4 linked regions of the Saccharomyces cerevisiae S288C genome follow. The gene in region 1 interacts genetically with each later gene. Each region holds a gene or a part of one and is shown in the gene's direction. Other genes may lie near its edges.

Evidence for each region.
Region 2: mutations in SUB1 (region 1) and SLU7 together harm fitness more than expected from each alone (negative genetic interaction), as found in Saccharomyces cerevisiae (2 studies listed by BioGRID).
Region 3: mutations in SUB1 (region 1) and GIS2 together harm fitness more than expected from each alone (negative genetic interaction), as found in Saccharomyces cerevisiae (3 studies listed by BioGRID).
Region 4: mutations in SUB1 (region 1) and KIN28 are lethal when combined (synthetic lethality), as found in Saccharomyces cerevisiae (2 studies listed by BioGRID, with this or other methods).

What each region holds. Positions count from the first base shown.
Region 1 is NC_001145.3:345,682-352,013, reverse strand, and holds SUB1 (chromatin-binding transcription coactivator SUB1), read left to right. Parts: upstream 1-2,491; coding exon 2,492-3,370; downstream 3,371-6,332. Other genes in the region: D-arabinose 1-dehydrogenase (NAD(P)(+)) ARA2, read left to right, coding at 41-1,048; YET2 (Yet2p), read right to left, coding at 1,151-1,633; copper chaperone CCS1, read left to right, coding at 3,754-4,503; stress-responsive transcriptional activator MSN2, read left to right, coding at 5,497-6,332. UniProt on the Saccharomyces cerevisiae protein: Plays a role in the release of TFIIB from the transcription complex during transcription initiation. Binds to TFIIB and specifically inhibits the formation of the TBP-TFIIB-promoter complexes.
Region 2 is NC_001136.10:617,403-623,812, reverse strand, and holds SLU7 (mRNA splicing protein SLU7), read left to right. Parts: upstream 1-4,167; coding exon 4,168-5,316; downstream 5,317-6,410. Other genes in the region: VTC5 (Vtc5p), read right to left, coding at 1-1,701; RRP1 (Rrp1p), read left to right, coding at 5,507-6,343. UniProt on the Saccharomyces cerevisiae protein: Essential protein involved in the second catalytic step of pre-mRNA splicing. Involved in the selection of 3'-type splice sites; this selection could be done via a 3'-splice site-binding factor, PRP16.
Region 3 is NC_001146.8:164,869-170,766, reverse strand, and holds GIS2 (mRNA-binding translational activator GIS2), read left to right. Parts: upstream 1-2,976; coding exon 2,977-3,438; downstream 3,439-5,898. Other genes in the region: TEX1 (Tex1p), read right to left, coding at 1-749; RTC4 (Rtc4p), read left to right, coding at 1,519-2,724; trifunctional dihydropteroate synthetase/dihydrohydroxymethylpterin pyrophosphokinase/dihydroneopterin aldolase FOL1, read right to left, coding at 3,670-5,898. UniProt on the Saccharomyces cerevisiae protein: May act in the sexual differentiation pathway.
Region 4 is NC_001136.10:263,412-269,666, forward strand, and holds KIN28 (TFIIH complex serine/threonine-protein kinase subunit KIN28), read left to right. Parts: upstream 1-4,286; coding exon 4,287-4,314; intron 4,315-4,395; coding exon 4,396-5,288; downstream 5,289-6,255. Other genes in the region: exosome non-catalytic core subunit RRP42, read right to left, coding at 1-699; TMA17 (Tma17p), read right to left, coding at 1,101-1,553; YDL109C (putative lipase), read right to left, coding at 1,847-3,790; MSS2 (Mss2p), read left to right, coding at 5,510-6,255. UniProt on the Saccharomyces cerevisiae protein: Catalytic component of the TFIIK complex (KIN28-CCL1 dimer) which is the protein kinase component of transcription factor IIH (TFIIH) and phosphorylates the C-terminal domain of RNA polymerase II during transition from transcription to elongation after preinitiation complex (PIC) formation, thereby positively regulating transcription.

The sequences.
Region 1 (6,332 bases):
GAGTACACATAAATAAAAGAGTAACAACGGAGACTATAAGATGGTTAATGAAAAAGTGAATCCATTCGACTTAGCTTCGGTTTCTCCTTTAGTCTTAGGAGGTGCAATACTGAACCAGCAATATACAGATGAGCCAGAATCCATTCCACTGGAAGACATAATCAAATACGCATTTTCGCATGGTATCAATGCAATTGACACTTCTCCCTACTATGGCCCTAGTGAGGTTCTTTATGGTAGGGCACTGTCCAATTTAAGGAATGAATTTCCCAGAGACACTTATTTTATATGCACAAAGGTTGGGCGTATTGGTGCGGAAGAGTTTAACTATTCTAGAGATTTCGTGAGATTTAGTGTTCACAGATCGTGCGAAAGATTACACACTACATATCTCGATTTGGTGTACTTGCACGATGTCGAGTTTGTCAAATTTCCAGACATCTTAGAGGCATTAAAGGAATTGAGGACCTTGAAGAACAAAGGAGTTATCAAAAATTTTGGCATATCAGGCTACCCAATCGACTTTATCACCTGGCTTGCTGAGTACTGCTCTACCGAGGAAAGTGATATTGGGTCATTGGATGCAGTATTGTCCTATTGTAACTTGAACTTACAAAACAATAAGCTATTGAACTTTCGAGAAAGACTGCTACGCAATGCTAAACTGAAAATGGTTTGCAACGCATCAATCTTGAGCATGTCGCTACTAAGGTCACAGGAGACAAGACAGTTTCACCCGTGTTCTCATGAATTGAGAGAATGCGCATCTCAGGCTGCCAAATACTGTCAAGAACAAAATGTCGACTTAGCCGATTTGGCCACAAGATACGCGATTTCGGAATGGGTAGGAAAGGGACCCGTTGTTCTTGGAGTCAGTAGCATGGAAGAATTGAAACTTGCTCTGGATAATTACGAAATTGTGAAATCGAATGGCAACAGATTATCTTCTAAGGACGGACAACTAGTAGAATATATCCAAAAGAATATTTTTAAAGAACATTTTAATGAAGAGTGGTCTTCAGGTATTCCTCATCCAGAAATGATATAATCACCCCAAAAAGAAAAAAAATTTGTCAAATTTTAGTTTATATTCATTTGTTCTATTTACATATGTAAGTTTTTCCTTTTCTTCTTTTTTAGTTTTTTCCTTTTAAAATTTCTTCTTCTGCAATTCCTCTAAATATTTTTGCTTTCGTCTTAACTTTTCCTTCAGAATGTCATCTCCAGCCTTCATTTTGTCATTCCATTCCACTATTCTTCGCAATATACTCATCACGGTGAGTATACATATATAAAAGTAGATGATGAAGCCTGAAATGTAAACATTCCTTTGGTTATATGCCCTTGAAGCCAGTGCATCCACTGGGGTTACACTATTTATTATATAGGGATTTTTCTGGTTGCGGTACGTAGACACTCTGATCTGTGACCTTTTCCATGAATCGATGAACAAAAGACCAACGAAGATCATGATTCCAACCATATAAGTTCTGAATTTCTTATTAGTACTTATGATACTGTAGCGTATATACAGCCACCTTCTCATACGCTGTGGAAGCGGAAGTACCAAAATAAACAGAATGGCCATTTCGATGACCAGTAACGAAAAGAGTACTGCCAAATAAACACCCATCACTAACTCGACTTTGAAATTTTGCTTAGTATTTTTCTATTCACATAATTCATGCTCCAACGAACACTCAGCGTATTTATTTACTTCCAGGCGGCTAGCTTTTCTCAGAGAAGGCCAGCTGTACATATATTGCTCTATCAACCCTTTTTTTTCCCTTGTCTTTTTTCCAAGAAAACCATTTTGCCTAATTGACACAAGCCTACACAACCAAGTTAGCCGTTAAACACAGCAGACGTATCTCGATCTCGTCAATGATATATACGTGTTTTTTGGAAGAATGAGATGGGATAGTAATACACCAAAAATGGGCTGATCATCCGATGTTATTATCAACCATTGGTGGATGGTCAAGACAGCGGCGCTAAATGCCACAGCCTCGATCCGGGTAATACTTATTTTGAGTTTTTTCAGCTGGGACGAATTATCATCACTAACAAGGACAATGAGTATAGCACTGCACACACACACGTTTTATCTTTACGTTATACGTAATTTTTCCCTCCTTTTAATGATGAGAATTTATTAATACATTCATTTGAATGGGAATTTTACTTTTACCTTCCTCAAATTTCTTTATCAAAACTCAAGTTTTCCTCTCTTTTCATCTCCTCTTCCTCTCCTTTCTTTCTTTCTCTCTTTCTTTTTCTCTCTTGGCTTGCCTTCTGCTCTCTATTCTTGATGAAAATTCTTAATTTGATCCAGGGAACGATAGGAAGACAAGAGAAGAGGTTGTAAACGTGAATTTTGTAAAAGTCCCCAATCAAAGAAACACTTTTGGTTGCCCACTTAAGAAAGCTATTTAATATTAAATCTTTCCGTACACATCAATTTTTCGACATATATACAAACACAAGCGCTATGTCATATTACAACAGGTATAGGAACAAAAGAAGAAGCGATAATGGTGGAGGAAACTTAAGTAACAGTAACAATAACAATGGTGGTATGCCATCTGGACTATCCGCATCAGATGCAATTTTTGATCTGGGTAAAAATAAGAGGGTCACGGTAAGACAATTTAGAAACATAAATTTAATTGATATCCGTGAGTACTATCTGGACTCATCTACAGGCGAAATGAAACCTGGGAAGAAAGGTATTTCGTTGACAGAAGATCTATACGACGAATTGCTTAAGCACAGATTGAATATTGATGAAGCCTTGAGAAGGCTAGGATCCAAGAGACCAAAAACCAAAATGGTTAGACTATTGTCCGACGACGAATATGAAGATGATAACAATAATGACAGTACTAATAACGACAAGGATAAAAACGGGAAGGACAAGAACAGCCCAAAGAAGAGGAGAGAAGATAAGTCCAAAGCATCTAATGAGAGTCATGACTTGGAGCCACGTTCAAAGAAGAAGAAACCTGCTCCACCTACTCTACTTCCACACGAGGAAAACATTCAAAACGCTGAAAGAGAAGCCAATGCTACTTTGATCATCCCAGGCCAGGCAGGTAGGAAACAACAAGAGGAACGCAAGCAAAAGGAAAAAGAAGAGGCAGAGGAGGCAAAGGCAAAAGCAGTTGCAGAACAAGAGAAAGAGGCAAAGGCAAAAGAAAAGATAGCTGAACCTGAACCTGAACCTGTACCCACACTTCAAGCTAAAAAAGAAGATATTGTCTCCAACATAAACGAGTCAAAAGATGCAAATTCTAGTGACGAAGAATTTGCTCAAAGCTTGGAAGCTGAAATGAACAAGGCTGAAGACGACATAAGTGAAGAAGAATAATAGTCCTGGAAGTTGAGCTTGCTTATGTCAACGTCTTCCATCCAACGAGCTTATTAGAGAATAAAAAAAAAAAAAAAGAAATAAAAATATATACTTTTCTGTTTGTCAAATTCATTTTAACAATTCATATAATCAAATATGTGATTTATAATAACCAGACAAAAGTTAATCTTGTACATTTCAGTATAATATACTATCAAAAAAAAATTTGCGCTTACTAAGCATTTTCCCCGTACAACTAGTACACAGTGAGAATGGAAGAGGGTAAAAATTCATTGTTCGGAAAAATAATATATTAAAGGCAAGCCAAAAAAAAAAAATTTAGACTAAGAAAAGAATAAAGATATCTTTGCAAGGCAGAAACCCATTCGATCAGCACAAAAATGACCACGAACGATACATACGAGGCTACTTATGCCATTCCCATGCACTGTGAAAATTGCGTGAATGATATAAAGGCATGCCTAAAAAATGTCCCAGGAATCAATTCATTGAATTTCGATATAGAGCAACAAATAATGAGCGTGGAAAGCTCAGTAGCCCCTTCAACCATCATCAACACCTTGCGAAACTGTGGTAAAGACGCCATCATAAGAGGCGCCGGGAAGCCGAATTCTTCCGCGGTCGCTATCTTAGAGACCTTTCAAAAATATACTATAGACCAGAAAAAGGACACCGCCGTGAGGGGCCTAGCAAGAATCGTTCAGGTTGGAGAGAATAAGACTCTTTTTGACATCACTGTAAATGGCGTCCCAGAGGCGGGAAATTACCACGCCAGCATTCACGAGAAAGGCGACGTCTCCAAGGGCGTGGAATCTACTGGTAAAGTTTGGCACAAGTTCGACGAACCCATTGAATGCTTCAACGAGAGTGATTTGGGCAAGAACTTGTACAGTGGGAAGACCTTTCTGAGCGCTCCCTTGCCAACATGGCAACTTATCGGCCGCAGCTTTGTCATTTCCAAGTCTCTGAACCACCCAGAAAACGAGCCTTCCTCCGTTAAGGACTACTCATTTCTGGGAGTCATTGCGAGAAGCGCTGGTGTGTGGGAAAATAATAAACAAGTGTGTGCGTGTACCGGAAAGACTGTTTGGGAAGAGAGAAAAGATGCCTTGGCCAACAACATCAAATAGAACATCCAAGATAGCACAACGTAGCGTAATACAGATATAACATAATATAGTATACTACATCATAACCACGTGATGCCGGACATGTACATACGCATGTGGCAATATGCCAAAGCCGGTTTCCAATCCTACTTCATATTGCCTTGTCCCTCCGGTTTCGCCGGCAACAACGGCCCGGAACGTACCTAAAGAGGTATTTCGCTCTTGGTATCCGTACCTCACTTATCTCCAGCACCTATCGTTCCTGGCCAGACGGCCGGAGTTGATCTTTCGTCTTTCTCCGGAAACCACGGCGTTCAGCTACGCATTCCGTAGCAGCCAAGCCGGTTCTTGACACCATCTGTCTACGTCATACATATCGGCTCTTTTTGTCTCTAATAAATTAAAGAGAGCCATTTATACGAAAAAAACACCTTTTTACGAATTTCAGAAAATCAGAATGGGAAAAACAAACTGCGGAAAAGAAAAACAAGACACCGAAAATATATACAATTTCCCCTCTACAGACAACATATAGTATTGACACTTACTTATTTATATTTGTTGTTTCCAGCGAAAGAGACAGGTAATAAAGACAAATAGCAGAACAAAGTGGTGTTTGTTGCCTGATATCAGCACCAGTCAGACTTGGCCCTTTTACTTTTATCGCGTAAACCGTGTTCCCTTTTTTTGCCTTCCTGTTTGGTAATAGTAAGAAAGCAGCACGAGCTCAACAAGACTTCCCAGTTAGAAACTGTGTTACACGAAAATAAAACAGACGGAAACCTTGGAGATAACAGAAACTAGTCTGTAATACGAAAAGTTCAAAAAAAAAAAGATATTGCTTTTTTCTTCCTTACTTTATCGGTATCTTCCTCATATTTTTCGGGAAGATCACAACAGTAGTAGCAAGGTATTTCATACGCCAAGAGGCTACCTTTTTTTCTTTGGTTTTATTTGCTTTATTTTTTCTTTCTTTTTTCAACTTTTATTGCTCATAGAAGAACTAGATCTAAAATGACGGTCGACCATGATTTCAATAGCGAAGATATTTTATTCCCCATAGAAAGCATGAGTAGTATACAATACGTGGAGAATAATAACCCAAATAATATTAACAACGATGTTATCCCGTATTCTCTAGATATCAAAAACACTGTCTTAGATAGTGCGGATCTCAATGACATTCAAAATCAAGAAACTTCACTGAATTTGGGGCTTCCTCCACTATCTTTCGACTCTCCACTGCCCGTAACGGAAACGATACCATCCACTACCGATAACAGCTTGCATTTGAAAGCTGATAGCAACAAAAATCGCGATGCAAGAACTATTGAAAATGATAGTGAAATTAAGAGTACTAATAATGCTAGTGGCTCTGGGGCAAATCAATACACAACTCTTACTTCACCTTATCCTATGAACGACATTTTGTACAACATGAACAATCCGTTACAATCACCGTCACCTTCATCGGTACCTCAAAATCCGACTATAAATCCTCCCATAAATACAGCAAGTAACGAAACTAATTTATCGCCTCAAACTTCAAATGGTAATGAAACTCTTATATCTCCTCGAGCCCAACAACATACGTCCATTAAAGATAATCGTCTGTCCTTACCTAATGGTGCTAATTCGAATCTTTTCATTGACACTAACCCAAACAATTTGAACGAAAAACTAAGAAATCAATTGAACTCAGATACAAATTCATATTCTAACTCCATTTCTAATTCAAACTCCAATTCTACGGGTAATTTAAATTCCAGTTATTTTAATTCACTGAACATAGACTCCATGCTAGATGATTACGTTTCTAGTGATCTCTTATTGAATGATGATGATGATGA
Region 2 (6,410 bases), on another chromosome or scaffold:
TAAAAGTTGAAATAAATCATTTTGCAATTCATTTGAGTGTACTAATTCTAAACATATTTTCCATGTGGTTAAGTCTGGTGGTATTAAGCTGCATTGAAACTCATTTGTAACAACTGATTTCATTAACTGTTTAAACTTATTGTCTTCATTAATAGCCGTCTGTGAAAGACCACTGGATCGACTAAGCTTTTTAATTTCTAAAATTGGAAAGGGTAATGTAGATACATTTCCAATAGTGATAGATTCATCCAAAGCTATCAAGTATATATCTCCATTGTCTGCTGATATGAATCTTGTTCTTTTAAAATCTAGCTTTGGTTCAATGGTTTTTAATCGATGGGACTGAATCCACTCCAAAGCGATCTTACTGATTGGCGATGGATCCAGTGAGTTTATGAGAGCGCTAATATTTTTTGTGTCGTTGCCACTCCTCATGGCCGAAAGAATATTCTTTACATCCCTTAGAAGCAGATCATTTGTGACAACATGATTTCTTAAGCCGCCCACGTGGCACATTACTATACAAGTATCCTCAGCAGTAGAGCTGACTATCATGTTTGGGTGCTGATTTATATTATCATCAGTAAGTAGTAAAGGACTGCCTTCGTTCCCGACAGTATCTAGTATACTAATAGAAACGTACTTCTCATTGGATTGTACAGCAGAGGGTAATATGTTCTTCTGTTTAGATAGGGATAAGGTATGTTGTAAGTCATTGAATGACTTTGCTGATCTTATAGATTTGTTGCCCGCAGAATTAATATTATCTGTAGTGTCTAAAATCTCCTTTGAAGTGGATATGATGCTATCGTCAATTATCCTAAAACCAATATTCAATAGCATGAACTTCAGTCCCTCTATGTCCTCGGACGATAATAAAAACCTTCCTAGATTCTCTGCTTTATCTATGAGGGCAGTATCGAATTCTAGCGAAGAATCAATCATTTTTGAAGTTTTCTTGTTTGAAAGTAGCGGAATTGACCTTGGAGATGCTGGCAAGGAAGAATTGTTGGCTTCTGGACTTGAACTTGTATGGGCAGATTCATCGGAGCGGTTTAGGGATCTTTGCTCCACTGCTGGCTCAGTTGCATCTTCAAGTTTATTTTCCAAATCATGTAAAACATCAACAATTAGCGAAACTTCTAAAAGATATGGATCTAAATCAAGCTTCATAAATGATATGCCTTCGTGTCCATTTCGTAAACTTTCAGAGTTTCTGATCGACGTAACATACTCACTTGCAGTCAATGGATTTTCACTGTCTTGAGGAAATTCATTTAGTAATTTTTTGAATAACTTTCTCAAGGCAATCCTTTGTATTATCAAAAACCTTGACAGTAGTTGTAGTTCAAAGTTACAATCGTCTACATGAGCGTTGATGATTTTCAGTTTACGAAGGTTGAAACGGTTTCTGGAAGTTTTGTTTAAGCCCTTTGAAAAATCGATTATTGATGATTCCACAGAAAGAATACGAGTGGAAATTTCCTTTATTTTCAAAGAAACAAATAAATTAACATTTTGAAATTCCTGGTCAAAGGCTACTGAACATTGATTCAACAACTTCTCCATGCCCGAATCATTTGGATTGTCATAATCATAAGCCGTTACTTTTTTTATGGCTACTTTTAACTTCTCATAGTTAATATTGTAGAATTTCCATTCAGGGATTGATTTATTCAATATGCGATCTTCAAATTTCATGATTGTACAACCCTTCGTATCTATCCTTACCTAGGGCTGAGATGGAGATATACAAAAAAAAAGCAAAGGTAAAAAGCAAGTATTAAACTCTATCTCTATTATATTCAAGAGGGCAACGGACGAACTATTAATTTATGAATTTTAAAAGTCCTTTGATAGCGTTCACGATAGGGCTTTTTGATCTTGCCTTTGTTTATCTTTTTATCTGTTTTGTTTTTTTTTTTTTTTTTTTCTTGGTTCAGTTTTGACTCTTCCACACACCCATTTCGCTAGCGTAGAACAAGGGGAGACACAAACTTTCTTTTCCTTGCAAGTTAATAACACAACACCCGTCCTCCTGCACTGAATTTACACAGAAGTTAAGAACCGCCTCTGCTTTTCTGGTATTATTTTGCAGCCTTGCCTAAAAAAAGTGTGGTAATTTTTGAGAATAATATATTACTGTGTTTTTCGAAACGAAAGTTCTGAATATTGGCTTGGTCGCTTCCTGATATCTGGAAACTTGTTTAATGTTTTTAATTATCAGTCTTCAAAGCGTCCTGATATGACTTGCCACGTTTCCATCCATTCTATATGTAGTTTAAATACAATGAGATAAAGGGTGCCTGCATGGAACTTTCCATTCGAAAAAAGAGATCATAAACCTTATCTGTCAAATAAAAGCCAATCTATTTGATTAGGTAAAAAAAGTGATGTCAGACCAAAGTGCCCCTCTCCTGCAATGATCATCGATTACGTACGGGTGTAATGATCACGACAGTAAAGTGAGCAAGGTAACTACTATCCCTAAGTGCGGCGTCATTGTAAGTCTACGACGTAGCATATTCAGTTTACTGTACAAGAAAAGTTTTCTCTCTGTAACAAGAGGAAATTGGTTAGCTTTCTACGCTTACTTCGTTTGGTACGATCAGTAAAGGTGAATAAATTAAGATCCACGCCTTCATATGGCAGGATCCACGATATTCCTTGCAATACCCCTGGATAATTCAAAAACCAAATGTTACACGGTATACTTGAAAATCGATACCATATTAGGAACACACCGGCCAAAGGTTGATAATACTTGGTATGAGATAAAACCCGAGCTCAAGGTTTAATGTTAAAATTTTTTGTATATATATATATATAGTAATGGGCTCGGTTGCAAATTTTTATGACTATCTTGAAACTAGTTGAAATTGCAAGAACCGTCACTCTATGGAGTACATGAACAACTAAAAAATAGCTTGAAGATACTTGCCACTCCATGCCATTTCTAGAAAGGGGTCTCTTGAGAAATGTGTGTTAAAATAACGGTTATATAGTTGGAAAGAATATTACTATTTTGCGATTAAGGGATGCCGTATGGCAGGCAAGGAAGTATTTGATCAAGAATACCGATTAATGAAGCATGTTTGCCATTATCGTTGAACCTTGGTATTTCTCAGGTTTCCTTATCGATACGATAGGAATGAGAATCAACTAACATTTATCGACTACAATTCATTATTACTACTATATTATCAAATGCTCTGCAAGGAGATGACCAAAAAGAAATGAGAAACAGTCTTCATCTCAAAATATAGGCAATTACCAGGTATACGATATTTCCTCAAAATGAAAATGCCTAAAATACGACAGAAAAACTTAGGGTGACGACTTTTTAACTAATCACTGAATGCAGCCGAAGCAAGTAATTATTTCCCTCGTTGCTACTCATTGAGGCCGCTCCATATGGAGATTTGAAAAAGGTTCTATTGATTCTTTAACTGGTGTCCATCCCCATGAGAACGTTTTAGTTAATTAACTGCTGGTAAAATAAGCGATAGTTGGTATTTTCAAAGGAATATGAGAAATGCGGGAATACTAGTTAGTAGACTATATTAAAACTTTGTTTCAACAGAATAATATATAGATACAACAGGGCAGTTGTGAAGATTGGCAAATAAATCTTTAAAATAACTTCTTTGTCCGGGCTAAGCAGGATACCACACTTTAAATGATGATTACCACCCCACAAGAGAAGTCGGTCTGAATTTATTAATTCTGGTATCAGCAAATCCCGTATTTCAATAACTTCAAGAAATCTTGTTCCTCGTGGCCCAATGGTCACGGCGTCTGGCTACGAACCAGAAGATTCCAGGTTCAAGTCCTGGCGGGGAAGATTTTTTATACATTTTTCTAGACTTTTGATTTTTATACCTAGTGACAATTAAAATATAGAAAAGAGTTGGTAACCTCAGCTGCCGTACTCTTCAATTTAATTGGAGAAGTTGTCGAGTTTTTTTAAAGTACATTTCATTGGAACAACTAGTGACTAGTTCGAACGCGGAAAGACAATAATAGTACCCATAACGATAACTCCTTCGTTATCTATTGAATAGCTTGCCTTTCAAGTAAATCAATAATCAAGTCTGCGTATATCATTTATCGAGCACTTCTGAAAAAGATACCAGTTACACTGAAATACAACGATCGGATTACATAATGAATAATAACAGCAGAAACAACGAAAATCGAAGCACTATTAACAGAAATAAAAGGCAACTACAACAAGCAAAAGAAAAAAATGAAAATATTCATATCCCCAGGTATATTAGAAATCAACCATGGTACTATAAGGATACCCCCAAAGAACAAGAAGGGAAGAAGCCCGGCAATGATGATACGAGCACTGCAGAAGGAGGAGAAAAAAGCGACTACTTGGTGCATCATAGGCAAAAAGCAAAAGGGGGTGCTTTAGATATTGACAATAATTCAGAACCAAAAATTGGTATGGGTATAAAGGATGAGTTCAAACTAATCAGACCCCAGAAGATGTCCGTCCGAGATTCTCATTCGCTGTCATTTTGTAGGAATTGTGGGGAAGCAGGGCATAAGGAGAAAGACTGCATGGAAAAACCTCGTAAGATGCAGAAGCTTGTTCCCGATTTAAATTCACAAAAAAATAATGGCACAGTTTTAGTACGAGCTACTGATGATGACTGGGACTCCAGAAAAGATAGATGGTACGGTTACTCAGGGAAAGAATACAATGAACTGATAAGTAAGTGGGAGCGTGATAAAAGAAATAAAATAAAAGGAAAAGACAAATCCCAAACTGATGAAACACTATGGGATACAGATGAAGAGATAGAACTAATGAAGTTAGAACTTTACAAGGATTCCGTAGGTTCATTGAAGAAAGATGATGCTGATAATTCTCAGTTGTATAGGACATCAACGAGATTGAGAGAAGATAAGGCTGCTTACTTGAACGACATAAATTCAACGGAGAGTAATTATGATCCTAAATCAAGATTGTACAAAACTGAAACACTGGGCGCAGTTGATGAAAAATCAAAAATGTTCCGCAGACATTTGACAGGTGAAGGCCTAAAATTAAACGAATTGAACCAGTTTGCTAGATCTCACGCTAAGGAAATGGGTATACGTGATGAAATTGAGGATAAGGAAAAAGTACAACATGTTTTAGTCGCCAATCCTACTAAATATGAATATCTGAAGAAAAAACGGGAACAAGAAGAAACCAAGCAGCCCAAGATTGTCAGCATTGGAGATCTGGAAGCTAGGAAAGTAGATGGTACAAAGCAATCTGAGGAACAACGGAACCACTTAAAAGATTTATATGGTTAAGTTATATCATTTGAATTTCCAATATCCTAGTCACGGAGCACGAGAGGTAAAGAATTTAGAAAAAAAAATGCGATGAGCTGAAAAAAATTGTCAAATATAAACTACATTCTTAAGTATACGTATATATCTTGCGCATTCACGGCATAATACACTAAATAGACACTTAAAAAATCGAGTGAGAACATTCACAATGGAGACCTCCAACTTTGTTAAACAATTATCGTCGAACAACAGAAAAACCAGGGTAAATGCACTCGAAGCGTTAAAGAAATATCTAACCGCTAAACAGTTCAAGGAGAACAAACAAATAGAATTCAATAAACTTTGGAAGGGTCTTTACTATGCAATGTGGTTCAGTGACCGTCCTAGACCTCAGCAACGTTTAGCCAATGAATTAGGTGAATTGCATGGATTATATTTTGATCCTAAGGACAATAGCACTGCAGATGAGTTGACCACAAACGATAAAGCATTTATAAAGTTTAGCAGAGGGTTTTGGAAGGTCATGTGCTTTGAATGGTTTAACATTGACAGATATAGGTTGGATAAGTATCTTCTATTGATAAGAAGGGTATTATTCAGTCAATTGAAGTATTTGCAGTCCAGAAACTGGGACAAAAAATTAGTCGACGAGTATATTAAGAAAGTGTTGAGGTGGTTACCTCTGAGTGGAAGTCCAAAGGTCTACACAGGGATTCCAATTCATATCGTCGATATTCTGCTGGACGAATGGGAAAGATTGCTTAAAGATGGAGATGAAGACGATGAAGACGAGGAAAACAAAGAGGAAGAGATGCGCAAAATTGCAGAGAGCGCAAAAAAAACGCCACTAGCCGATGTTATCGCAATTTTCCAAGATATCGTGGCAGATTACAATAACAGTAAGGTGTTGAGAGAGAAGATCAAAGAAGACCTATTCAGTGACACCAGACTTGTTTCCTGGGATATTCTTGAAGGCGAAACGCAACATAATGATTCCAGTAACGAATCTGAAGAAGAGGAAGAGGAAGAGTGGAAGGGATTTTGATTCTTCCTGGCGGTAGTATGTAAGTAATCGTAAGTCGCTCATATAAATTGTAGTTGTATATCTATAG
Region 3 (5,898 bases), on another chromosome or scaffold:
TTAATTTTGGTACAAACCTCCAATATGCCATGTTTTGCTTTTAAAATGGCCAAATAACCACTCTTAAAGCCAATAAATATATGACTTCCACCATTGCTCCATGCTAAGGAATACACAACGTCATTATCCTCTTGGCTTATATCGCTGATGTTCAAAGAACAGACAGAGCTGTGATCCTTTTTCACATCAAACAAGTAGATTTTCTCAGATTTGGTGGCAGCTAATAACCAGTTTCCTAATGGATCATAAAGACATGTGTTGACCTTAGTCTTGCTTCCCAATGACAAGGTCCTTAATTTGGATGCCGTTAGCGATTTTTCGTTGATTAAGAGTAAGGATATCTCTGATGAATTGCTCACGACAGCTATTTGATTTAAAGAAGTAGGGTTCCAGGACAAATCAGTAGCCAATTTATCGGAACCACAACAGTCTGGAATATAAACTTCTACAGATTTGTCAAAACTTGCATCTTTAATAAACCAAACGGTCAATGACCCATCCATTCTACTATACGCCATCGATGAACCTGATACGTGAAATTTTAGGGAAAGAATTTCATTTGGAGTTATGGGAGTCGAGGTGAATCTTGAATGAGAACGCGAACTGACATGAATGAACCTTTTATCTTCGATATGACTTGTATTACCTTTAGAAAACGTACTTTGTAGATATTTTGAAGTCACTGAGGCAGCCACTTCAGAAGTTATGGTCTTTTGATTAAGAATATCAACAGCTCCAATTGTCGACATGCCGAATAGTTCACTTGATCCTTTTTATGTATGTAGCTGTACACCAATCAAACCTCAATGAGTGAAGCTTTGTACGTAGAAATACTGAAGAGATATATATTTAACATAATATCTTATGTACGTAACCTGTGGTGCAAGGCTTTTAATTTTCTTAATTCTACTATGAATAATGATAAGTTAGGCAAGACACCTATACATGGTTAGTGGCGTCGTTGGGGTGTAAAAATGAATTGTCCATGCTCGGTTACTGTTTTATACAACGGTACAATAATTTAACGTTTTGTTTCTTCCGTCATCATATCCAGTGGGAAAGGTGTATTTCTAGAAAATAATGTTAACCTTCAAGGTTATGCTTTGCGATATTTGACACTTTCCAAAGAAACATGGGCACTGTTAATATACCTTCAAGTCTACATACATATATATAAACTGCATTTGGCTATCTATCGAACGTAAGCAGGAAAAAAATGGCAATTCGATTGAAAATCCAAAACCCTTTATGATACTGAAGACAACTCCAGTAATTGAATAGGTATGGAATAGTAATTCTCTGAAAACTCCCTTGAAAATTGGGAGGCAATGATACTCCTATTTGTGCTGCATCTCAATTGTTGTGGTAAATAGCGTCCTAAACTTTTTTTTTTTCCTATATATAGATGGCGTCGCTAAAATGGGAAGCTTTGAAAAATGTAGCGATGAGATCACATTAAAAGGGTACTGTATGTGCTCTCGAGACCTTAGCACAAATTTTTGACCTGCGTAGACAGAGATGGTTGGGCCTGGTCTGGGAATTAATCGAGTGAGGAGAAAAGGTGTTTATTCCACAAAAAAGGGAAGTGGTGATAACTTACTGTTAATGAAAAGACAAGGAAAACATGACATACATGATAGAGAAAGTGACGACTTATCAGGCCATGATGCCTTTTCCCCCTCAAAAAAGCGCGGCAAAATAGACAGTATCACAGAAGATGAGATTGAAGTAAAAAAGCTTTCCACTGTGGCCACATTTGATAAACTTTCGAGGTCATTTCCAAATTCAGAAGTACAAGCCGCAAAGAATGCAGCACTCAGAGGAAAAGAAAAAGAAGAAGAGAAGGTCGTTTCTATCCCACTAATACAGAATTTGAAAAATGAAGATATCGAGTCTATCAAATGCAGGAACAATAATCTTTTAGACGGTAAAAAATTACTCTTGGAGGCAGAACTATCGGCAGTTGAAGATAACCAAATCTTCTCCTCTTCATTTCCCGAGGATAAAAAGCTATCGTTACAAAGTTGTTTGAGTTCTAAAGAGCAGATAATCAAAAAACTTCAAGTAAGGGAAGAATACATGAGCAAGTTCAAACTACCACCCATGTTGTTTTCGGATGAGCTACTCACTGAAGTAGAACCCTTCATGCCCATTGTAATGGACATATTGGAGGGAAAGATATCGTCTGTATACTATTTTGAAGCAAAAAATGCATTCAAAAACTCACAAAAGGCTTACTTGTCCGTAGATGAGTTTAGAAAGTTGAATTTAAACAAATTTACTGCTGGATTTTACGGCCTGAAAAGGCAATTGAGGGTTGGCGAAGAAATCGCTAAGAGATATAAAAGGGCACTCACGCACAATCAGCCCGCAACCTTAAAATGGTGGGGGATAACAGATTTCTGTAACTACGTTTTGGCTCCAGAAACCCTTACGTCTTTTTGTATTTACCAATTAAATCTCTCGAATAAATCTTGCTCGTCGAAGACACCGAATAAACATCCAAAGCAACAATTAAACGAGAAGGAATATTACTACGATCCCGAATTAAGGATGCTAGCCTATGACTTACTCGAGGATACAGTTGAATACGGTATCATAGTAGCCGACTCTGATCCAATTGAGCAATGGGAAGCTGCCATAGAGGAAGACCGTCTGCGGGAACTGAAACTCGATGTTCATAACTATTCCAGCAGGAGATGGCGACTGGATACGCACGATTAAACAGGTAGTATATTGCCGTTTGTTGCCTTTATGGCTTAGGGATTTGAGCTTTATAGTAAGAACTGCTGTGGTGTCATGATAGACGAAATGCTGAAAAAATTTTCTTTTCGTTCCTTTTCTCTTTTGGCAAGAGTTGTAATAAGGTCATCGATGGATTAGAAATGCTCTTTCTGCTTTGGGGGCACTTGAGGATTGTATTATTTTAAGGCTTTCCCTTCAGAAATCAGGAAAAAAGAAAAGAATACGAAAAAGATGTCTCAAAAAGCTTGTTACGTTTGCGGTAAGATTGGCCATTTGGCAGAAGACTGTGATTCTGAAAGACTATGTTACAACTGTAACAAACCCGGTCACGTTCAAACGGATTGTACCATGCCAAGAACAGTTGAATTCAAGCAATGTTACAATTGTGGTGAAACCGGTCACGTTAGAAGTGAATGTACTGTGCAACGTTGTTTCAACTGTAACCAAACCGGCCACATCTCCAGAGAATGCCCTGAACCAAAGAAGACCAGCAGATTCTCCAAAGTTTCATGTTATAAATGTGGTGGTCCAAACCATATGGCTAAGGACTGTATGAAAGAGGACGGAATTAGTGGATTGAAATGTTACACTTGTGGTCAAGCTGGCCACATGTCCAGGGACTGTCAAAATGACAGGCTTTGTTACAACTGTAACGAAACTGGCCATATTTCCAAGGATTGTCCAAAGGCTTAGGTGAAACATCCACTGAAAAAAACAAAGGAACAATCACTTATCATGCTATATTTCATAGAGGGGAAAAAAGAAGCACAAGTAAACTGAATATTTAAGTTTATTTTCTATATCTTTTCTATACTTCATTTCACTTGTTTCCTCCCTTGGTTATTTTTAACGATTCTTTATTATGAAACAGGAAAAAAAATTATTACAAAACAGAATTACATATTTAATCTATATAACTAACCTTTATTCCAAACCTTTATAAATAGCATCTGCTAATTTAATGCTCTTCGAACAATTTTTAACGTCATGGACCCTAACCATGTCGCTGCCGAAACCAATACACGACGCTACCACCGCTCCAGTAGCAAAGTCTCTTTGCTTCGCATCCACATCTTTTGTGATATGTCCAATGAATTTTTTGCGCGATGGACCCAATAAAACGGGCATATTTCTGAGGTTAACATACACTTGCGAATTGTTTGAGTTCATGGTGAATGAGTAGTTCTTTAAAATGGGGATATGTCTAATAATTTGTAAGTTTTGCTTCCAGGTCTTAGCAAAACCAAGTCCAGGGTCGATTAGAATTTGCCAGCGCTTTACTCCATTATCAATCGCTTTGATATACCTTTCGCCAATTTCTTGACCAACATTCCTGATTAACACTGTTTTGTCTTTCAAGTCGTCTAGCTGCTGAATGTCGGTATTATGAACAAATTCTTGCTGAATAGAATCACCCAATGCAAAATTTTCGTAATGCGCCAGCCTATTCATCGTTGAAATATCACCACGTGTGTGTGATAAAATATAACAAATTTCTGGGTTCTCTGCAATTACGGCAAACATGTTGCTGTCAAATAAACCTCCCGAAATATCATTAATAATATCCACTCCAACTTTAATCGCTTCTTTAGCGACATTGGAACGATAAGTATCAATGGATAGTATGACTTTATCTTGCGGTAACTCAGTGCTTTCTCTAATGGCCTTAATTAATGGGATAGACCTGCGTATTTCTTCTTCCTCAGACGCCTGAATAGAGTTAGGCCTGGTAGAACACCCTCCAACGTCGATGATGACGCTCTCATGCAAATATAATGCGTCTTTACACAATTTAATGATATCATTCAATTGACTTTCAATGTCCGCAAAATGCTCACCTCCATCGGAAAATGAATCTGGTGTAGCGTTGAAGATAGCCATGATATATGTAGGTGAAACAGTAATTCTGTTTGTTTCTCCAGTAAATTCGTCAAGTTTTGTAGCGGTCTTGAATTTCAAAAATCTAGGCTCCACACCACTACGATAAGGCAATGGAACTAATTTCCATAAGGTATCTTCATCATGCTGTTTGTCGTATAACTGTTTTAAATGGTCTACAATGGGTTCCGCTGTCACAGGATGAAGGTGAACGGGGGATATTAATTCACATAACGGCTCAAGAACGAAAGTCCTCTCCAGCATTCTAGGATGCGGTATATTCAAATCCGGTTCATTTACTATAATATCTTCTCCGGCGCTATTCAAAAACATAACAATATCCAGATCTATTGTTCTCGGACCATTATCAAAATGCTTGACTCTTTGCAACTCTTCATATTCAATTTTTTTACACAATTTTAATAATTCGCTTGGGGTCAGTAATGTCTCCACCTCAACACACCCATTCATGAAAGGGGTTTGATCTTTGAAATACATTGGTTCACTTTCAAAAATAGACGAAATATTCCGTAATTTAACCGTTTTTTCCCTTGATAATAATTGCAACGCCATTTGAATGTGTTTGAAACGGTCCCCAATGTTTGAACCAAACGCTAAAAACGCTCTTTTCCATGTATTTTTACCCTCAATAGGAGTGTTTTGTGATGAAGACAATTGGAACTTAATATCAGACGATTCATGTATGGAGGAAAGATATGGAATATTTACCATCGCAATCTCCCTGGGCTCTCTAATACAGCTTACACCAACACCTTCTGTGGCTGTGATTGCGTTTAATTTCAAAACCTTCACCACCAAAGGCGAATCTGGAAACTTTTGAAAATACTCGTTATGGGCAATAACAGCTGACACAGATTCTACAAGAGCTTCCACAGTCTTGAAATTTGATTCCTCCACAAACTTGACAACGTTATCAATTATGCTTTGCACTGGCGGTGGCAATTCGGCTTTCTTTGGCCAAGGCAACTTTATATCCAAAGTTACATACTGTTTCTTAAGTCTCTCAAAGGTGAAAACACCAATCAAAGTCAACATTTTTAACTCAGATATCCTAACAACGTCAAATTCCTGTGATTCTGGATTCCCTCTTTCTTGTTGAATAATACAAGATATGTGGTCACTTCTAATATGCGTTGTATCCGCCTGCACTTCTAAATTCAGACACTCGACACCAGAATATTTGTCCATAACAAATTGAGACACAGATTTAGCCAAATTAGAAACAGAACCCCAATTCTTTTTTTTGCTGACGAA
Region 4 (6,255 bases), on another chromosome or scaffold:
ATCATTCAATGCTACTGATCTGATAGGTGATGTAATCTTACCATTAGACCAGGAAATGATTAGGCCATTATTGGCCACTTCGCTTTCGTTGGCTGCAGGGTCCAATAGCATATTGTTGCCTACAACGGCCAATATAAACACTAAAGGCGGATTAATGTCAAGCTTAACCATGTCGTAATCATGAAACGTAGGAAGTTCTTCCACCTCTAAGTCGTCAAAAGCTGAAATAAGTTTCGGTAGGTATGTGGAGTTCAACGCTGAATAAATAGCAAAGGATATTAAAGAAACTGGGTGTGAATGTGATGAAATGACCAGAACATCGACAAATATTTTGAAGCTGTACTTTTTTGTCAATTGCAACTTTGAGGAATCTACTCCGCTACCAGACTTCAAAACCTTGTTCAGTAAAGAAGTGATTGTCTCTACTACCAGCGCGTCATCTCTTTGGCCTGCGATATCTACATCGACCTGAAGTAGTTCATTCTCCACATGATGATCCACAACTTTGGACTTAATGCTCACGATACATTCACTTCCATCACTAGCTATAATTCTGGACGATCCATTGGAACTTGGTAGGAAGTCAGTAAATATTTCTATAGGTCTGAATTGATGAGGTAGTCTTCCATCGGGCCTAATTGAAGGCGTGCTTGCTAGTGAATCGTATAGGTACGACTTTTCGGCGACCGAAAGAGACATAAATGATTATTTCAACAGAATCTCAAACTGTCGTTGTGCTAGTCAAAAAGAATGCCTTTTGCCGTCTACAGACTATTAGTATCATTGTACTCCTTCACCATATAAGCTCTACGTTTCTTTTTTCTGAATATTAGAAAAAAATTTCGCCAACTAGGGTTCAAAATAATAGACTAGGGCACGGAAGAAAAGCACACCCTAGGGCTTTCGGAGATAAATTATTAATAGCGAGTTTTTTTTGTATTTACTTATTTTATTATTTCTTTAAGATATCTAGTAGTAAGGATAGAACGGGTAGATAGAATAGACAAATGGAGTTATTGAAATATTTATACGAAGAGATAGAACAGAGAGACAAAGAGTATGACGTGAAAATGATGCGCAGTAAAACTAAATCCCGTCTCTTAAATGAATATGCTGTTTGGTGTCACGACGTCCACATTTGAATTGTCCATGTCAACGTCAGGGCCCTTGTTGGTGTTGTCCTTTGCCTCTACCTCGTGCTTACTCTTGCCATGGCCCGTCTTTCTATATACCGTTTCTTGCTCCAATGCGTCCACTCTCTCATTGTAATTGTTTAGCACAATTTCGTTCTCCCTGACAGAGTCCTTGTACAGCGCCAGGTCTCCCGAATCAATGTTCTCCAAGTCGTCGCTGTCGTCAGCTTCAAGACGGTCGTCAGCACCCTCCAACTTAGCTATGTATTTACCCAAGCGGGCGTTAGACCTCTGCAAATGATTGATACTGTTCTCAATTTCTGTTTTAATCTGTGCCAACTCCATGTCGGACATGCCGCTTATCGCCGTCTTAAATTCTTCGATCTGGATTGGTCTTCTGATACCGCCTGCTGAGCACATTATGTTACTTGTAGTAGTTATTATGTTTTGATTTGCTTTATGTTTTATAAAGATCTTACCCCTCTTTTTGTCAAGAGAAATAAGCTTCTGAAGTATTGTTTTCCTGGTGAAAAGTGTCTTATTTATATGGAGAAGGGATATTCGGCCTCGGTTTTAGGGGAGGAGCTGAAGAGTTGTCCCGCTCGAAAAAGACCCGTAAGCGCATTTATCGAACTACGAAGTAAAATGGACTTTCGTAGGTGTGGACAATAGTAAATTGCAAGTCAATCCCGGGATGACGTCAAGATAGACAGTCAATCTGTCACAGAGGAATGCTTGCTAATCCAGGAGCTGGCGAGCTGGCTAGCTGTGGAGACTATTCCACCATGGTACACACTAGGATCCTCGATCTTGGTGAGCCATGAGTAGAACTTGTTTGGTTCCACCCCTCCGGTTGCCATGTTTATATCTTCCTCAGCAAACTGTTTATCTTGCATTGGTGAGGCGATTGGGTCATCTCTTTGGAAATGGGCGGTAACAAGGTGGTCAACCACCGGCCAGCCGTAAGCGTTGGAAAACCTTCTTCTTACGATGATGTTATTGTGGGCATCTGGTTTCAGCAATACCACGACTTTCCTCCAATGCATCCCCTTGTGCCAGCGGCGTGCTATGATTTCCTCCATCTCTTTTCTCGTCTTCCTCGTTTCGCCTTCCTTGGCTGCTGTTCCTTCATAAAGTGTTGGTGATGGAGGCGGTAAATTCTTTTCTGTGTAGATCTTATCATGTATGATTGTTGCGACCCTTGCATCGGGATCTGAGAAGAACTTTGCGTCGGGGCATGGTGATAGAAGCACAGACTTCATAGATTTGATGACGGAAGCATTCATCAAGCGTTTAGATTTCTTGTCGCAGTTATTTTCCTTGCTCTTCCAAAACGTGTTCCATGACGATGCATTGATTCCATCATCATCATTAGCAACATCGCTATGATTTGGAAGTTCCCCAATAGGACTTACTTCAGGCTGGAAGAGAGGATCACAAGGTGCCGTAGTTTGACCTCCCAGTTTCTGAAGTAATTGAGAGTAGTCCAAAAAAAGTAAAGAAGAGGAGTACAAGGGAACTATTCCGTCGTTGACGGCATTAGCATAAAGTGTTCTTCTTTTGAATCGAGCAAGCACACTGATTAAGGATTCCTCGGATAGCAGGTAAAGTAGGGGCTTATCACCATAATTTCCATCCTTAAGACCCAGTTCTTGCCCCGTAGTACCAATGATACCCATCGACAATGACATTTTTACGTAATTGGGCGTGCTGGTAGCAATGCCTAGCAATGGTGACGCCAGTGAGATAAAATTGATTGGCTCCACTTTCTTAAAGAAATATGGATATTTGGTCTTTATGTAACAAATAGCAAAAGTTTGTGTTAATCCACCCAGGGAATGACCAATAAATGAAATTTTCCCAACAGAGTCATCATATAACTCGTCGATGATGTAGTTTGCCAATCCAACACCCAAAAACTTAATACCCTTCTCAGTCTCACAAGCATTCTTCATATATCCCTTAATAACTAGTCGCTCATTTGGATTGTTCATTTGAGCCTTGTATATTTCTTCCATTAAGTATTCCATATCTGCCGAAACGTTTGATTGAAAACCATGCGTGAGAATGACTAAATGGGATTTTTGCGACATGTCTATGGGTCGTGGTACTTTCCATATATCTGCGGTGGTAAGTCTATGCACCGATAATCCTGTGTGTAAAATATTGCAGGCTTTATCAGGCAATGAATCATTACATCGTATTTTTCTTTTCAAAGAGGCCTTTGAATTGCCGACTACTATCTCAAAAGTTACCTTAGTTTCTTTATTAAATAGTATTTGACTGACAATATCCACTATCCATACATAGCGTGGCTTAATGTGGTGCAAGGACAACTCTGCAATAAACTTTTGTTGTGCCTGTAGGTTTGATTGAAATACTGGTTTATCCGCCGAACATATGATCTTATACGAGCTTTCGTAATCTTTTGCTCGCACGTCACAATATAAGATAAATGGGCCCAATAGATAGGCTGGTTTATAGGATAGCTTTGTGGTATTTTTGATCTTTACCCATAGGGAATCCAGTGTGATATCAGCGGGAATACTATCACCCTGGTATAGCTCATATGTAATAACGTATCTTTCTAACTCACCTAACTTTACTGACGACTGATTGTGGTATAGCACTTCATCAGCACTCCTGCCAGCTTCCATATTACTACCGTTTCCCCGATGTTTTTGGGTGAATAAGGTCAGGTGAGCATTTTTTGTACTGATATTTTTTCTCTTTGTTTGCAGACACAACGCTTGCTGTTAATACGCTAAAAACATACCACACTACCTTGAACAAATCCTCCAAGAGAAATTTGTAAGAATTCAGAAGCGGTTTCAGGGGAAGTCGGCTTAGTTGTCAATTGTAATTGAAAATCACCCTCTAATTTGAAAGATTTTCAGTTTCAATAAGACATCAATCTTGCCAGTTTGTAATTTTTTGGTATATAGAAATGGTCTTCAAGCATAAGCCTTAAGAAAGATTCGTCCATTGGATGAACCTACAATTTTTTTTGTGTTATGATGTGAAGCTTCATTTGAAGCATTGTGCAGAGAATATTACAAGTAGATTCAAAAAACACATTGAAAAAAAATACAAGTGAAATCACAGTTACTTAAAAGTCATCAAAAAAAATATTCCCGGCCTCAGAGCGAACATATGAAAGTGAATATGGAGTACACAAAGGGTATGTGGGGGTTATATATTGTCGTCTTTCTTTTAACATTCAATAATGATACTAACGTTGATTAATGATGATTCATCGCAGAAAAGAAAGTTGGTGAGGGTACTTATGCGGTTGTTTACTTGGGTTGTCAACACTCTACTGGAAGAAAGATTGCTATTAAGGAGATCAAAACATCCGAATTTAAAGATGGTTTAGATATGTCAGCTATCCGTGAAGTTAAGTACCTCCAAGAAATGCAGCATCCGAACGTCATAGAACTAATAGACATATTTATGGCTTATGATAATTTAAATCTCGTTCTGGAGTTCCTACCAACTGATCTAGAGGTGGTAATAAAAGACAAATCAATACTGTTTACACCAGCAGATATTAAGGCATGGATGCTTATGACTTTGAGGGGCGTGTATCATTGCCACAGAAATTTCATTTTGCACAGGGATCTGAAACCAAACAATTTATTATTTTCACCTGATGGCCAGATAAAAGTAGCAGATTTCGGTCTAGCAAGGGCGATACCGGCCCCACATGAGATACTGACAAGTAACGTCGTAACAAGATGGTATAGAGCGCCAGAATTGTTGTTTGGAGCTAAACATTACACATCGGCTATTGATATCTGGTCAGTAGGCGTTATATTCGCGGAATTAATGCTAAGGATACCTTATTTACCAGGACAGAATGATGTCGATCAAATGGAAGTAACGTTCAGGGCCTTAGGGACACCTACAGATAGAGATTGGCCCGAAGTTTCTTCCTTTATGACGTATAACAAGTTACAAATATATCCGCCCCCTTCAAGAGATGAATTGAGGAAAAGGTTCATTGCTGCTAGCGAATACGCCTTAGATTTTATGTGTGGAATGCTAACGATGAACCCACAAAAGAGGTGGACCGCTGTTCAGTGTTTAGAAAGTGATTATTTCAAAGAATTACCACCACCAAGTGACCCGTCTTCAATAAAAATACGTAACTGATATGATTTTATAAAATTTGTAGAATCTGTGTTATTGACATTAGATGTATCCTCAACATATACAAATAAACTTCTTGATGCGTCTTGTTTTTTGGTGTTGAATTTTAACTCTTTTCCATCATTATGGAATTCGTTTTTAGATTTTAACAACAACAATATGAGGGGAGACAAACAGTAGCAGACGAAAACGAAAACAAAAGCAAGAAATATCTGATCTAAAATATGCAGAGGTTTGTCAGTAAGTTTGTTTCCACACCACCAGTACCCAAAAAGTTTCAAGAGATTTTCCCGAAGAAACGTACGGTTAACAAAATTTTATTCCAGTTAGATACAAGGCTTACATACCATGAAATGTACCCGATATTTCTGCAGGTATCACAAAATACTAATGAAGAGAATATCCCATGGAGGAAGAAATACCCCTATATAAGGAGTTCAGACATTATGCAGATGCGAAACGTCTTGATAACTCTAAGGACGCAGAACAAATTCGTCCACAAAGACTTATTAGCTATGGAGGATAAATTATTGAATATTGCTGCCGAACTTGGCAACAACGATGCTATATCCATCCTAAGCTTCAACGTGATACATGAATATAAAAAGGAAAACGTCAAATCCAGTTATGAAAAAGACATTGAAACGGCTAATGAATTCATAAAGAAGCTGTATGCGCGTAACCATCATTTAACGGTTAAATTAATAGGGGACCTGTTTTTCGAAAACAAAACTTACGATAAGGCTGAGAAATATTACCAAGAGTTCTTGAAATTGGAAAATAGTACCAAATTGGCAGGCGAAGTTCACGGAAAACTTGGGGAAATCCAAATAAAGCAAGTCAATGGTTTTTTGAAGGCAGAAAAGTCATGGCTGAGTTGTATAGAACTGCTGGAAATTGAAAGAAGTTCACGTTGGTACTTTCTGTTAGCGAGGTTATATATGAGTTCAGAGCCCATGAAAGCCAAAGC